Linked DNA regions of Ovis aries. The protein of the gene in region 1 interacts with the protein of each later gene in a biochemical or structural test. Links are inferred from orthologs where the notes say so. Each region holds a gene or a part of one and is shown in the gene's direction. Other genes may lie near its edges.

Evidence for each region.
Region 2: of the proteins of LRRK2 (region 1) and MAP2K3, one has a biochemical effect on the other in vitro, tested with the Homo sapiens proteins (2 studies listed by BioGRID). The link is inferred for Ovis aries from reciprocal best matches to the Homo sapiens genes LRRK2 and MAP2K3.
Region 3: of the proteins of LRRK2 (region 1) and ARHGEF7, one has a biochemical effect on the other in vitro, tested with the Homo sapiens proteins (2 studies listed by BioGRID and IntAct). The link is inferred for Ovis aries from reciprocal best matches to the Homo sapiens genes LRRK2 and ARHGEF7.

Annotation. Positions count from the first base shown.
Region 1 is NC_056056.1:147,019,668-147,023,412, reverse strand, and holds the start of LRRK2 (leucine-rich repeat serine/threonine-protein kinase 2), read left to right. Parts: upstream 1-925; 5' UTR 926-1,034; coding exon 1,035-1,188; intron 1,189-1,325; exon of another isoform or gene 1,326-1,502; coding exon 1,503-1,588; exon of another isoform or gene 1,589-1,628; intron 1,629-3,745. Other genes in the region: uncharacterized protein LOC121819120, read right to left, coding at 309-899. UniProt on the Homo sapiens protein: Serine/threonine-protein kinase which phosphorylates a broad range of proteins involved in multiple processes such as neuronal plasticity, innate immunity, autophagy, and vesicle trafficking.
Region 2 is NC_056064.1:35,010,501-35,014,145, forward strand, and holds part of MAP2K3 (dual specificity mitogen-activated protein kinase kinase 3), read left to right. Parts: coding exon 1-128; intron 129-556; coding exon 557-634; intron 635-2,370; coding exon 2,371-2,510; intron 2,511-3,527; coding exon 3,528-3,573; intron 3,574-3,645. UniProt on the Homo sapiens protein: Dual specificity kinase. Is activated by cytokines and environmental stress in vivo. Catalyzes the concomitant phosphorylation of a threonine and a tyrosine residue in the MAP kinase p38.
Region 3 is NC_056063.1:84,836,406-84,840,050, forward strand, and holds part of ARHGEF7 (rho guanine nucleotide exchange factor 7), read left to right. Parts: intron 1-1,648; coding exon 1,649-1,779; intron 1,780-3,645. UniProt on the Homo sapiens protein: Acts as a RAC1 guanine nucleotide exchange factor (GEF) and can induce membrane ruffling. Functions in cell migration, attachment and cell spreading. Promotes targeting of RAC1 to focal adhesions. May function as a positive regulator of apoptosis.

The DNA of each region.
Region 1 (3,745 bases):
TTCTTGAAAAACACATTACTATATATATATTTTTCAAACACTTTAGTAATTTTGAATATCAACAGAATAGGTCACCTGTTCATATCATTTACCATGTGTTTGTTTCTCTTTAGTTTCAATTGCAATGAGAATCCATTACTTTTTGGTGTGCCCCAATTTTCAGAATCTTACCTAGTGCAAACTCAAATTTTCAAAAGCTAATTTTCGTGGCCTTTTGGTCAACAGAGACTCAGTTAACAGGAAAAATGTCTTTATCTCCTTTCCTACAAACAAGTCGCAGCAACCATAGAAAAGCACATTTTGGTTGCTTAACTATGTCCATCCTTGGGGGCCGGGGGGTGGGAATTCCTCATCTCCCAATAGGGGGAACTCCAAAGAGAACGTTTTCCTAAAAGGGGCCAACTGGGCGGCGTTCTCTTTTCCCAAGGCCCCGATTTATATTCTTGGATCTGGAGATCTGCGGCGGCTTCTTTCTTCTTCCTAGTTCCCAGAGGTTCCGCGGGCTGCAGGAGACCAGGCTGGCGGGTCAGGGGGTGGCCCGGGGTGAGGACCGCACGCCTCCCGGGCCTCTGAAGTGCCAGGGGCCTGGGCGGTCGGCAGAGTCCGCTGAGTCGGTTTCTTCCGCGCGACTCCCGGCCCCACCACCGGGGCAGGCGGGATCCGGTCCCGGGAGGCTGCGCCCACCCAGGGTCTCGACTCGGCCGCGCGGGGGCCACGGGCGCGGCCTCACTCGGGCGGGCCGCTCTCGCTGAGTCCTGCCCACCCGGCAAGGTTCTGCGCTGGGCCACACCTCGGCCTTCTCTCCTGCAGGCTCCTGCTCGGGGTTTTGGCCTTGCGTGGGGGAGGAGGACGCTGAGGAGGAGGGCTCCGAGAGAGGGCGGGAGCCGCCGCCTTCGCATAAACAGGCGGGCGTGGGTGCTGATGCGGCTGGCTGTGAGTGCTGGCTACGGCCGGTGAGCTGGGCTCGTCTCCTTCCTTCCCGGAGCGGCCTGCCTTAGTGCGGGAGGGGCGGCCGGTTTGGAGCAGGGTCGGTCATGGCCAGCGGCAGCTGCCAGGGGTGCGAGGAGGAGGACGAGGAATCTCTGAAGAAGTTGATAGTTAGGCTGAACAATGTCCAGGAAGGAAAACAGATAGAGACGCTGGTTCAAATCCTGGAGGATATGCTGGTGTTTACATACGCCGATCACGGTAATCTTTTGTCTGGAAACTGTTCCTTACCGCCCGCACCGCCCGCCGCTCCCCCCCACCCGCCCCGCTCCCCCGCCTCCCGCTTTCCCAGGCCTTTTAAACAAACTTTCTCCTCCCAACTTTGTGGCCACACAGACCTGCACTCTTGAGAAGTCGAAAGCTCTCTACTTCTTGGGGCAAACAAGAGCTGACAATTCTAAAATTCTAGGAAGGTCTTGCGCTCACTTCTTCTGCTTTCTCCCTCCTCTTCAGACTTAAAAGGGGTGCCATGAATCGTGACTTTGCTCCTTTTCCTTAACCCCCTTCTTTTCCAGCCTCCAAGTTATTTCAAGACAAAAATGTCCACGTGCCTCTGTTGATCGTCTTGGACTCGTATATGAGAGTCGCAAGTGTGCAGCAGGTAAAAGAGTTGCTTTCATTTCGCCCATTTCCCCTTCTTCGGAAATAGGTGTTTTTCTACTGATACTTTGTACCCAGAGTTCAGGGTTATTTCTGAGATTTGTCCTGACAAACCAGTCTGTGGTTTTAAGATAGGAAGCATTGTTAAATCATTATCAAATGTTAACGGTGTAAGAGGGCCTACTCTGTGCTCCTTAATTATCATTAAGATGTAACTTTATATAATTAACTGACAGAATATGGATGGTGAGGGGAGGGAAATAATAATGGGTTGAGGTTTGGTTTCTTTCATTAGCTAGATTTGTTCCTAAGTGTTTAAAAGAAATTATTCTAAGATTCTTCCCAATGTACAGCATGTTCTAGAGATGACACCATTGTGAATAGTTTGGGAAAGAGGAATAATGAACAGTAATAGAATTAATAATTAAATTAATGAATTGAAGTTACTGGCAAACTCATAGGTTTAAGGGTTTCTTTTTTAAACTTGAAGACAGATTTCTAACCTTCAGTTGTAGTACACCTTGTATTATCTTAAGAGAGTAATGTTTTAGGAGTCCCTTGTAAGTTTAAATCTGTACTTCTCAACTATTTTTATATAAAATGAATGTAAAAGTGAACCTTTTAGAACCTGTGTCATAGGAAACCCTGAAATTTGTTAAATATATCAGATATATTTGAAAAGGAGCCTTAAGACGAAAATTAAGTCTGATACACCGTCAAAACAAAATTACTGCTTAAGGTTAACTTCCTTTGTAGATTTTGAGATTTGGGGAACTTCTTTGTAGATTTTGAGATTTGGGTAGTGCTAGTTTTCTCATTTGCATGTTAGATTCTAAACGGAAAGAGAATTGAACCTTGAACTCTATCGAGGTGCAATGTTTCTTAATATCTACTTGAGAGGCTAGACAGATGTAAGAATTATCTGAATCTCTGTCCGTATCAATTATCTTATGCTTATCTCTGTGTCCAGCTATGTCTAGCTTTGATGAACTATATGCCTAGCTTCTTTTATATGAAGATATATATATGTGAGATAAATGGTTACTTTTATTTTTCTTCAATTGAAGTATATCCCATCTGACTATTGATTTTCAGGCTGTTAGCAAATAAGATCAAGAAAAAAACAGAGGCATGATAAAGACACTGTTCTTTTAACACCCAGTGTCTGAAATTTTGCCTATGAAACATTCAGTCTCCCGCACTGGCCTTTTGTGCTTGCTGCTCTCCACCCACATCATCCTTCTTACTCGCCTCTGCTTTGGTGTTCAAAATTGCATTGTCTGTCAGACCCCATTCCTTGGATTCTGTTCTTGGCAGAGTCTCCTCTGCCAGGCACAACTTTGAACACTGGGCCCTGGGTAGGCTTGGTCTGCAGAGGAGCTAGTGCTAGACTTGAGAATCCAAGGGAGTCTCCAACATACCCACCTCCTAATTTTTCCTCATTTTAGAAACTGCCAGATCCCAGACATGTTTGTTTTGGGTAGTTATGAATGTCATTCAATATCCTTGCCCAGTAGGTACCAAAGACAAAGTATGGAAGAAAATAAGGAATTGTCTTTTGATTTGGTGATTTAATGGAATAGAATTACTTGTTGCAGCGCAGTATATTAACCTGCAAAAGGCATTATGTTTGTGTAGTTATCATTTGATTCTTGATGAAATCTGCTTCCCTTTCAGAAATCTCACTGAATATTTTTTTCTCAGAGTAAGTAGCTCATTTAGGACCACAGAGCTAGTAACAGAGTCAGAACTCAAGTTTCACACACCTTCAAAATCTTTTTTTCATAATATAATAGGTGCTGAATTCACAAACTTTTTATATAACTAAAGAGTATAGTGGTTTGGCACAAATATTGTGGCCATGCTTTGCCTACTGATGTTATTGATTTAAATTATCATTGATCTTATCAAAGGGATGTTTTAATACTCTACTTAAAAGAAAATATTGTCTTCTTCAAATTTATGCATATTACTGGTGAAATTAATATAGATATACTTTAAAGCTTTATACATTGAATCGGCTGAAAGTACTGAAGTAAAAGCACTTGATGAATTTAGGGAATTAAATTACCCTTCAAAAATGAACATCAAGGTTTGTTTTCAGAATTTAACATGACATTCCTGACTCTGAATTTTTATTTTCAATGTCTTTTCGTAC
Region 2 (3,645 bases), on another chromosome or scaffold:
ATGTGAAGCCATCCAATGTCCTTATCAACAAGGAGGGCCACGTGAAGATGTGTGACTTTGGGATCAGTGGTTACTTGGTGGATTCTGTGGCTAAGACAATGGATGCTGGCTGCAAACCCTACATGGCCGTAAGTGGGGTGCCCAGGTCATGCCCAGAGGAAACAGCCAGGCTCAGGCACCTTAGCTGTGTCCTGCTCCATCAGGAATGAGGCCTCCCCAGACCCCGAATTTCCTTCTAGAGGGAGTCTCCTGCTCAGCCCTCTCCACCCCTTTCTGACTGGCCCCACCGTGTCCATTTGGATGATAGGTTTCACCTCAGCGGGGTGGCTGGTGGGGCCTGTGGGAGTTGCTGATACCCCAAGGTGAGACCCCCAGGTGTGGCAGCTGTGTGGCAAGACTTAGGCTTCCACCTCGAGACCCCGGCCCTCACCAGCCTCAGCTTCCACACTTGCTCTGGGGGAGGTAGGATGGGTGAGCACTGGCCCCTACGTTTTGTGGGGGGCAACCAGACCCAGCTGAGGGGGCCTGGGTGACCCTGCTCTGGCTCCTCTTCCAGCCCGAGAGAATCAACCCAGAGCTGAACCAGAAAGGCTACAATGTCAAGTCTGATGTCTGGAGCCTCGGCATCACCATGGTACGTCCTGGGGCACCCTTGCTGGTCGGGTGGAGCACAGGTGGGGGCTGTGCCAGGTCTGTGAGCTTCTGGGGGCCAGATAGTCTAGCCTGGACAGAAGGGTTGGTTGGCTTCACGATGTGAGAAGAGACAGTGCCATCAAAGATTATGGGGTCCTTAGCAGAGTGTCCGCAGGTGCCTCACGCCCTCCCTGGGTTAGGGCAGCGTTATGCCGCTCTCGTCTGTGACCACTTGCCTGTTGGACTTCCTCAGGGCTCGTGCTCACTGAGAATGCACAGCCAGCCCAAGACCAACTGGCTCCTTGTGCACGAGGGCTTCACGACAGTGGCGAGGCTCAGCCTTGCCCTGCTCGTTCTTGCTGCTTCTCCACGTTTACTCCCACAGATAATGCTGTAGTATGTGTCTCTGTGCCCAGAGGCTGCTTATGTTTTCATTTTTTGAGCTCTTTTAGAAAAAATTACCAGGAGAGGAATGACTAGGTCCAAGGTTTGGACACTTCTCTGTTTTTGTTCTTGAGCTCTGGTGGCCACTGCATCCTTCTCTGCAGCCCAGGCAGGGTCCTCACTCCTGTGTGCCGGAGTCAGTGGAAACTATAGGAAAAAAAGGAGGCTGTCTTTGCCCTATGAAAATCCAGGGTCATAGCCGTTCCCGCCACACTGTGTCACCTCCATCTGTGGGCCTGTTTGTGTCTTGGCTGGAAAGGAGCCTGGGGCCTGATGAGAAGGTCCTTTCTGAGCACAACTAGTGACCTGTTTTGGTGTGTCTGCTTGAGACGAGGTCTCTCCTGTTTATTACGGTGATCGCTTGTCAGGGTAGTGGACTTGAATTTTCATGTCAGTGGTGATCGCTTCTCAGGGAAGTGGACTTGAATTTTCATGTCAGTAGTCAAAACTGGAAGCAGAGGTTGTGGTGAGACAGCCATTCTTTGCTACAGATGGCTCCTGCAGGCGAGGCGCGGGGCACAGGGGGATCTGGGTCTGGTGGAAGCGGTGAGGCCGTGGCAGCCCTGTGTCCAGGGAGTCGGAGAGAAACAGTGACAGCATCCGAGTGGAAAGGCTTCCTGGAGGCGGAAGCGTTGGACATGGGCTTACAGGTGTTGGTGGCTGGGTGGTGGGGGCTTTGTGGAGGAGGAAGGGCTGCGGACTTCATTTCCTAATGGGGCCTGGTGGATTGCTGCACAGTCCAGGAGATGAACCTCTTAGTCTAACATTCCTCCTGAAGCTCATGAAAATCATTTCATTTCCTGCTTGCCTTTTCGCTAATAACAACAGCCCACATAAACGGCAGCAGAAGCTAAGGTGTTGCTGAGACATTAGGGAGGAGGGAGTGGTCTGTGGGGAACTTCGAAGCTGATCACTCTTCTCAGGCTCTTTGGTGACAGTGGCCTTATCGGGAGCACCCCAGGCTGCCAGCCCTCTGATTTTTCCAGGTTAACTGGAACCTGGGTTTTAATGCAAAACCTTCTGAATTCAGATTGTTTGAAAACCCGATAGCCAAGCCAGTCAAAACCCAGGGTTGAATGTGTATCATGAGCTACAGTCTTTGCTGGCTGGGACAGAACCAACTCCTCTGTCCCCTTGGCTTTCATCTTTGGACTGATGTCACCTGTCAGCCCCTTGACCTGCCTCACAGCCCAGCTCTGGATGCTGGACCAGGACAGGCAGGATCTTTGAAGGCTTTGCTTCCGTGTGCAGAGCGTGGGTGTCTCTGACCCAGGGGTGCTATCTCCACTGCAGATCGAGATGGCCATTCTGCGATTTCCTTACGAGTCCTGGGGGACCCCCTTCCAGCAGCTGAAGCAGGTGGTAGAAGAGCCGTCCCCCCAGCTCCCAGCTGACCGTTTCTCCCCTGACTTTGTGGACTTCACTGCGCAGTGGTGAGTCTCAGCCCTGCTCAGACCTGAGGGCCTCCCTGAGCCCAGTCAGTGCCCCTCCCTGCCCCGGCCAGATCCCGTCCTCCCTGGGCCCGGTCTCCTTTTTGAGCAGACAAACCCCAATAACAGCATCAAAATAGAAGGCAGAAATAGTTAGAGTATAAGGATAATTTGACAAGCTATGGTCCTGGGAGGAGTTTTTAATACGGTTCCTCTAGAAACGGACAGATCACATAGATCAAAAAAGAAAATGAAGAGTATATGGAGGATTTAAATACACAGTAAATTTGCTTTTGTTGATGTGTAGAATTTTGTATCACATTAAAGAATGCCCACAAGATCCTTGTAAAGATTAATTATGTTTGAGATTACAGAGGAAATAAGGGAAAAGGCAGGAGGCAGAGTCTTATAGGCCACATTCTCTGACTGGAATTAGATGGAACAGGAAATACATAACTATGGAGAAAAAAAGCTACAAGGAAATTAAAAGTAAATTCTTCTAGTATACTCTTGGGTTATAAGAGAGATCTAAAACATACAATCATAAAGTAGTGAGAAGTGAAGACTTGAGAATCTAACATACCAACAGCTATGTGCTGTGGCCGGAGAGACGCTCAAGGGAGAATTCACAGCCTTTCTTTCGTTCACTGGAAAAGAAGAAAGTCTTAAAACAGGTGCGCCTGGCAGGCAGGATCATTCTCTCCCAGGACCCATGGTAAGGAGCTTCCTCTCTCGATTAAGGACACCAAGCATATGATGGTTAGTGGTAGCATGTTAGTGTTGGGATCGTTGGAAATCTCCTAGGTCACTATTGGTCCAGTCTCTCTGGTGGGCACCACGGATCCCACTCTGCCCTTGGAAGCCCCCAGGACAGTTCAGCCCTTTCTTTCCTGAGCCTCGGGAGCATGTGTGTCCCCTTGCTGCTTGGGCAGGGCCAAGCCCAGCCTGACTTGACTGGCCTGGATGGGCTGGATTCGCTTCCCTGCCATCCTGGCCCCAGCCTACCCTGTTCTCTCCTAGCCTGAGAAAGAACCCCGCGGAACGCATGAGCTACCTGGAGCTGATGGTGAGTGCGGGTGGGGCTCTCTGGGAGAGGGCTGCCTCTATGCACAGCGGTGGGCAGCTCCTCCGGCTTGCC
Region 3 (3,645 bases), on another chromosome or scaffold:
AGACGTGTGTCACGTGTGCTCTTGACGTCCCTGGGTGCAGAACGCAGAGCGCTCTTCTCTACAAAGAGCTGCTTGGATGTTCTGGAGCGAGCTCGGTGCTGCTCTCTGCAGCTCTTAAACAAGAGGCTAGAGCTTTGTCGAGTGAGAGCTTTCTGCCTCTGGTTTGCTGGCTGCTGCTCTTCGCGTCTGATTTTGAAGCCAGTGTGACGTGTGGCCGTGCCTTTGCAGGTGTCAGCCATAAGGGGCCAACTCAGGTGTAAGACGGGCTTCCCTGGTGGCTCGTGGTAGGGAATCCACCTGCCAAGCAGGAGACCTGGGTCAGGAAGATCCCCTGGAGGAGGACATGGCAATGGTATTCATGCCAGGAACATCCCATGGCTGGAGGAGCCTGGTGGGCTGCAGCCCACGGGGTCGCAGAGAGTCGGGCGTGACTGAGCGGCTGAACAGCGGCAGGCGTGAGGCGCGCTACCCTCAGGGCTGCCGGCGGCCCCGCTGAGAGAGGCCCGCGTTGGCGCCCCTCTGCTCCTGGCGCTCGAAGGAAGCGTTCTCGGGCATGTGGCCAGATCCTTGCCTTTCTCTTGGACAGAGAAAGGTTGGCGGTGGGGCACGAAGGGGTCCTGAGCGTGCACCGGGTACGGGGCAGCTGCTGGGCAGTTTCTGCACGCGTGTCCTCTGGGCGCTGCTCTGTGCTTACAGTTGCCCAGGCCCCTGCCCCACGGTGGTGCTGAACGCTGGCTCTTGCTGCCAGCGCTCATCTGGGCCTGAGAACTGGAGGGGCTGCGTGCGGACTGACTGTCCGGGTGGTTTTAGGGCAGGAGTCCTAGATGCCTGGGCCTTGCTAGCTCTGGGCAGTCGAGGAGCGCACACCCTGTGGTACCCTCCTGGGCGCTGTGAGAGCAGCTGGAAAGCTCCGTTTCCCTGGGAAGTCCTCTGGCTCTCAACTGTTGATGACTAAGTCAGCATTTCCTCAGACACTGTGCCAGCCAGTCCAGACAGACCTGCCAGAAAGAGCGGGCCCGGAGGCCCCCAGTTTCAGGATGTTTTCACGGAAGGCCCCCACGCAGCTTCAGGATGTTGCCAGGGCCTGCGTCTCAGGGCAGTGATTCCCTGGAAAGCCTTTTTGTGGCCTCGCTTTCACGGTCCTGCTGCATCTGTGAAGCGGGCTGCTGACTTAGGCGTGCTGGGTGGTGGTGGGGCATGTGGTCCTGGCCAGACCCCCAACAGGGACTGAGCCTTTGGTGCCCTTGACACCCTGGTCCTTCACAGCCCTGGGAGGTGAGGAAGGTGTGGCTGCCCTCGTGCAGAGGGACTCGCCCTCTGAGGGGCCGCTCTGGCCAGAAGGGCCAGGGGCTTCTGTTGCACGTCAGAGTCTCCTTCTCCGCACGGTCCCACTGGGGCTCGCAGCTTGCTGGCCCCGAGGGCAGGCGTGCAGCAGGGGTGCAGGGGGCAAGGCCTGGGTGGTGCTCGGAATTCACCGGGAGGCCTGTTTTCCCCAGGTGAGAGGAAAGGGTCAGAACAGACTGCCGGACGCCAGAGCCGACACGTGTTCTGTGCAGCTGGTTTCTAGGAAGGGCAACGGGGGCGCGTGCGGGTGGGTCCTGCGGGTGGGCAGCAGGGCGCTCAGCCCGCCCCCTTGACGGCCTTGCAGACATCGGCCTGGGGAGTGACTCTGTGTGCGCCCGGCCCTCCTCCCACCGGATCAAGTCCTTTGACTCCCTGGGACCGCAGCCTGCGCACGGCCGGACTTCACAGTTGTTCCAGGGCCAGTACCGCAGTTTGGTAAGTGTGGACGGGGGTCCCGGCGGTGGGAGTGTGTGGTGGGCGGGGCTCGGGAGGCGCTTGGCACGGGGCGGGGGCCTGTGCTGCCTTGCCCCTGCTCTCGGGGCTGGCATTTGCTCATCGCTAGATTATCACGGGTCTCATGTCGCGTCGGCCTATTTCAAGATGCACCTCTGTTTATCTGGACGGACGTGGGCTTTGAAGTGTTTTCCTCGTTGCTTGCATGGTGTCTTCTTTCCTGCTCTACACATGATTAGAAGTTGGGGCACGAGAATCCATGTCTCATACTTAGATGATGACGAAAAGGCTAAACGTGGAAGACCCTCGAGGTGGTTTTTCTCTTTATGAGCGCGTGATAGCACACTGCGGAGTCCGGCTGCAGCGTGTGAGAGGGGCCCCCTCATGAGTGCTGGTGAGGCGGGGGCCCCGGGCTGGACAGACCCCACGAGACAGGCTGTGAGCACAGACCCTGGGAATGAGGCCTCGAGGACCGTGATGAACAGGGCCGAGCAGAGCCTGTGGGGGCGGCCGCCACGTCCGCTGGCCAGGGTGAGTGTCTGCAGGAGGGCCACCAAGCCCCCCAGGGCGGACGCTGGCCTGGCCCTCGGCTTCATCAGCCGCTGCTGTGACTCTGCTTCGTGTGACATCCTAGTAACCATTTCATGTTGGAAACTCAGCGGCCTTGTCATGTGAGTCTGAAGAGAACCTACCCTTCCAGTCTTCAGAGGCCACTGCTTTCTGCTCACCATAGGGGGATGCTGTTCCATAAGCACGTGGGGATCCTGGAGAGATAAAGCCGGCCTGGTTGAGCTGTGCCTTGTAGAGAGATGCATTTGAGTTAGGTCACGAAGCACTGTTAAAAATGGAAAACTGTAGAAGGGGTATAGTTTTTACACCTCTTGAACTGTTCGCGTTCAGGCTGACTCTCCCTCCTGTGTGCGTGACTGCCTGCCTTCCCCTCGGAGAAGCCCCGGAGCCCTGTCTCTGACCTTGAGAACAGCACAGCGCCCGTTGGGCGCGGTTTCTCGGTGCCGGCTGGTCAGCGCTTCATGGGGACTGACGCGTGTCACCGTCCACCTCCCCGGGGCTGGAGGGACTTAGGGGGCCCTGTTGGGAGCATCGTGGTCCAGACGAAAGAAGGAAGGTGTCCAGATCCCTTGAAAACAGCTGCTTCATGAAATACCCATGGAAGACACGCGAAAAGTCAGCAAGCTTTGGGCAGAGAAACCTTCGCTGCCTGACCCATTCACTTGAGGCTCTTCTCGTTTGCTTTTTTTGTTTGTTTTTGAATAAATGAGGATTGGATTGCAATTGAAGAATTTTACTCAGTTAAATGTCCTTTTATGATGAATGTTGCTGAGATCATAGTAAGTATAGGACTAGTGTTTCATTAGAGAAGTTTTGTCACACCAGAAATGGGAAGCCTGCGGCCACCTCAGCTGTGTGGTGGGCACGGTGAGCCGCTCGGAGGGAGCGTGGTGAGACTCCTCCTGACCTGAAGGGGAGGGTGAAACCCGAGATGAGACGCTCGTGACTGAAGCTTCCCTTTGCTGTGGCCGGGCCAGCAGTGGCGGCCCCAGGGAGGGCGGGCTGGCACGGTGTGGCCCGTGGTCCTCTCCCTGCCTTGGGCCCATGTCATCCTTCAGGGTTGGGGGCGCTCGACGGCTGAGAGTCTGCCTCAGGCGTGAAGGGTCCAGACCGCCCTGCCCTCCGCTGACGCTGCCCTGTCTGGGCCTTCGTGGAGTGTCGCTGCCTGAAGCGGGAGGTGTCCTGGTGCTGGCCTGGCTTGGCCTGTTGGGAGGCTGTGGGTCACGTCTTCTGCTGCCTCCTGATGGTGGGGCCCCATCCCACGCCAGTACCGCCCAT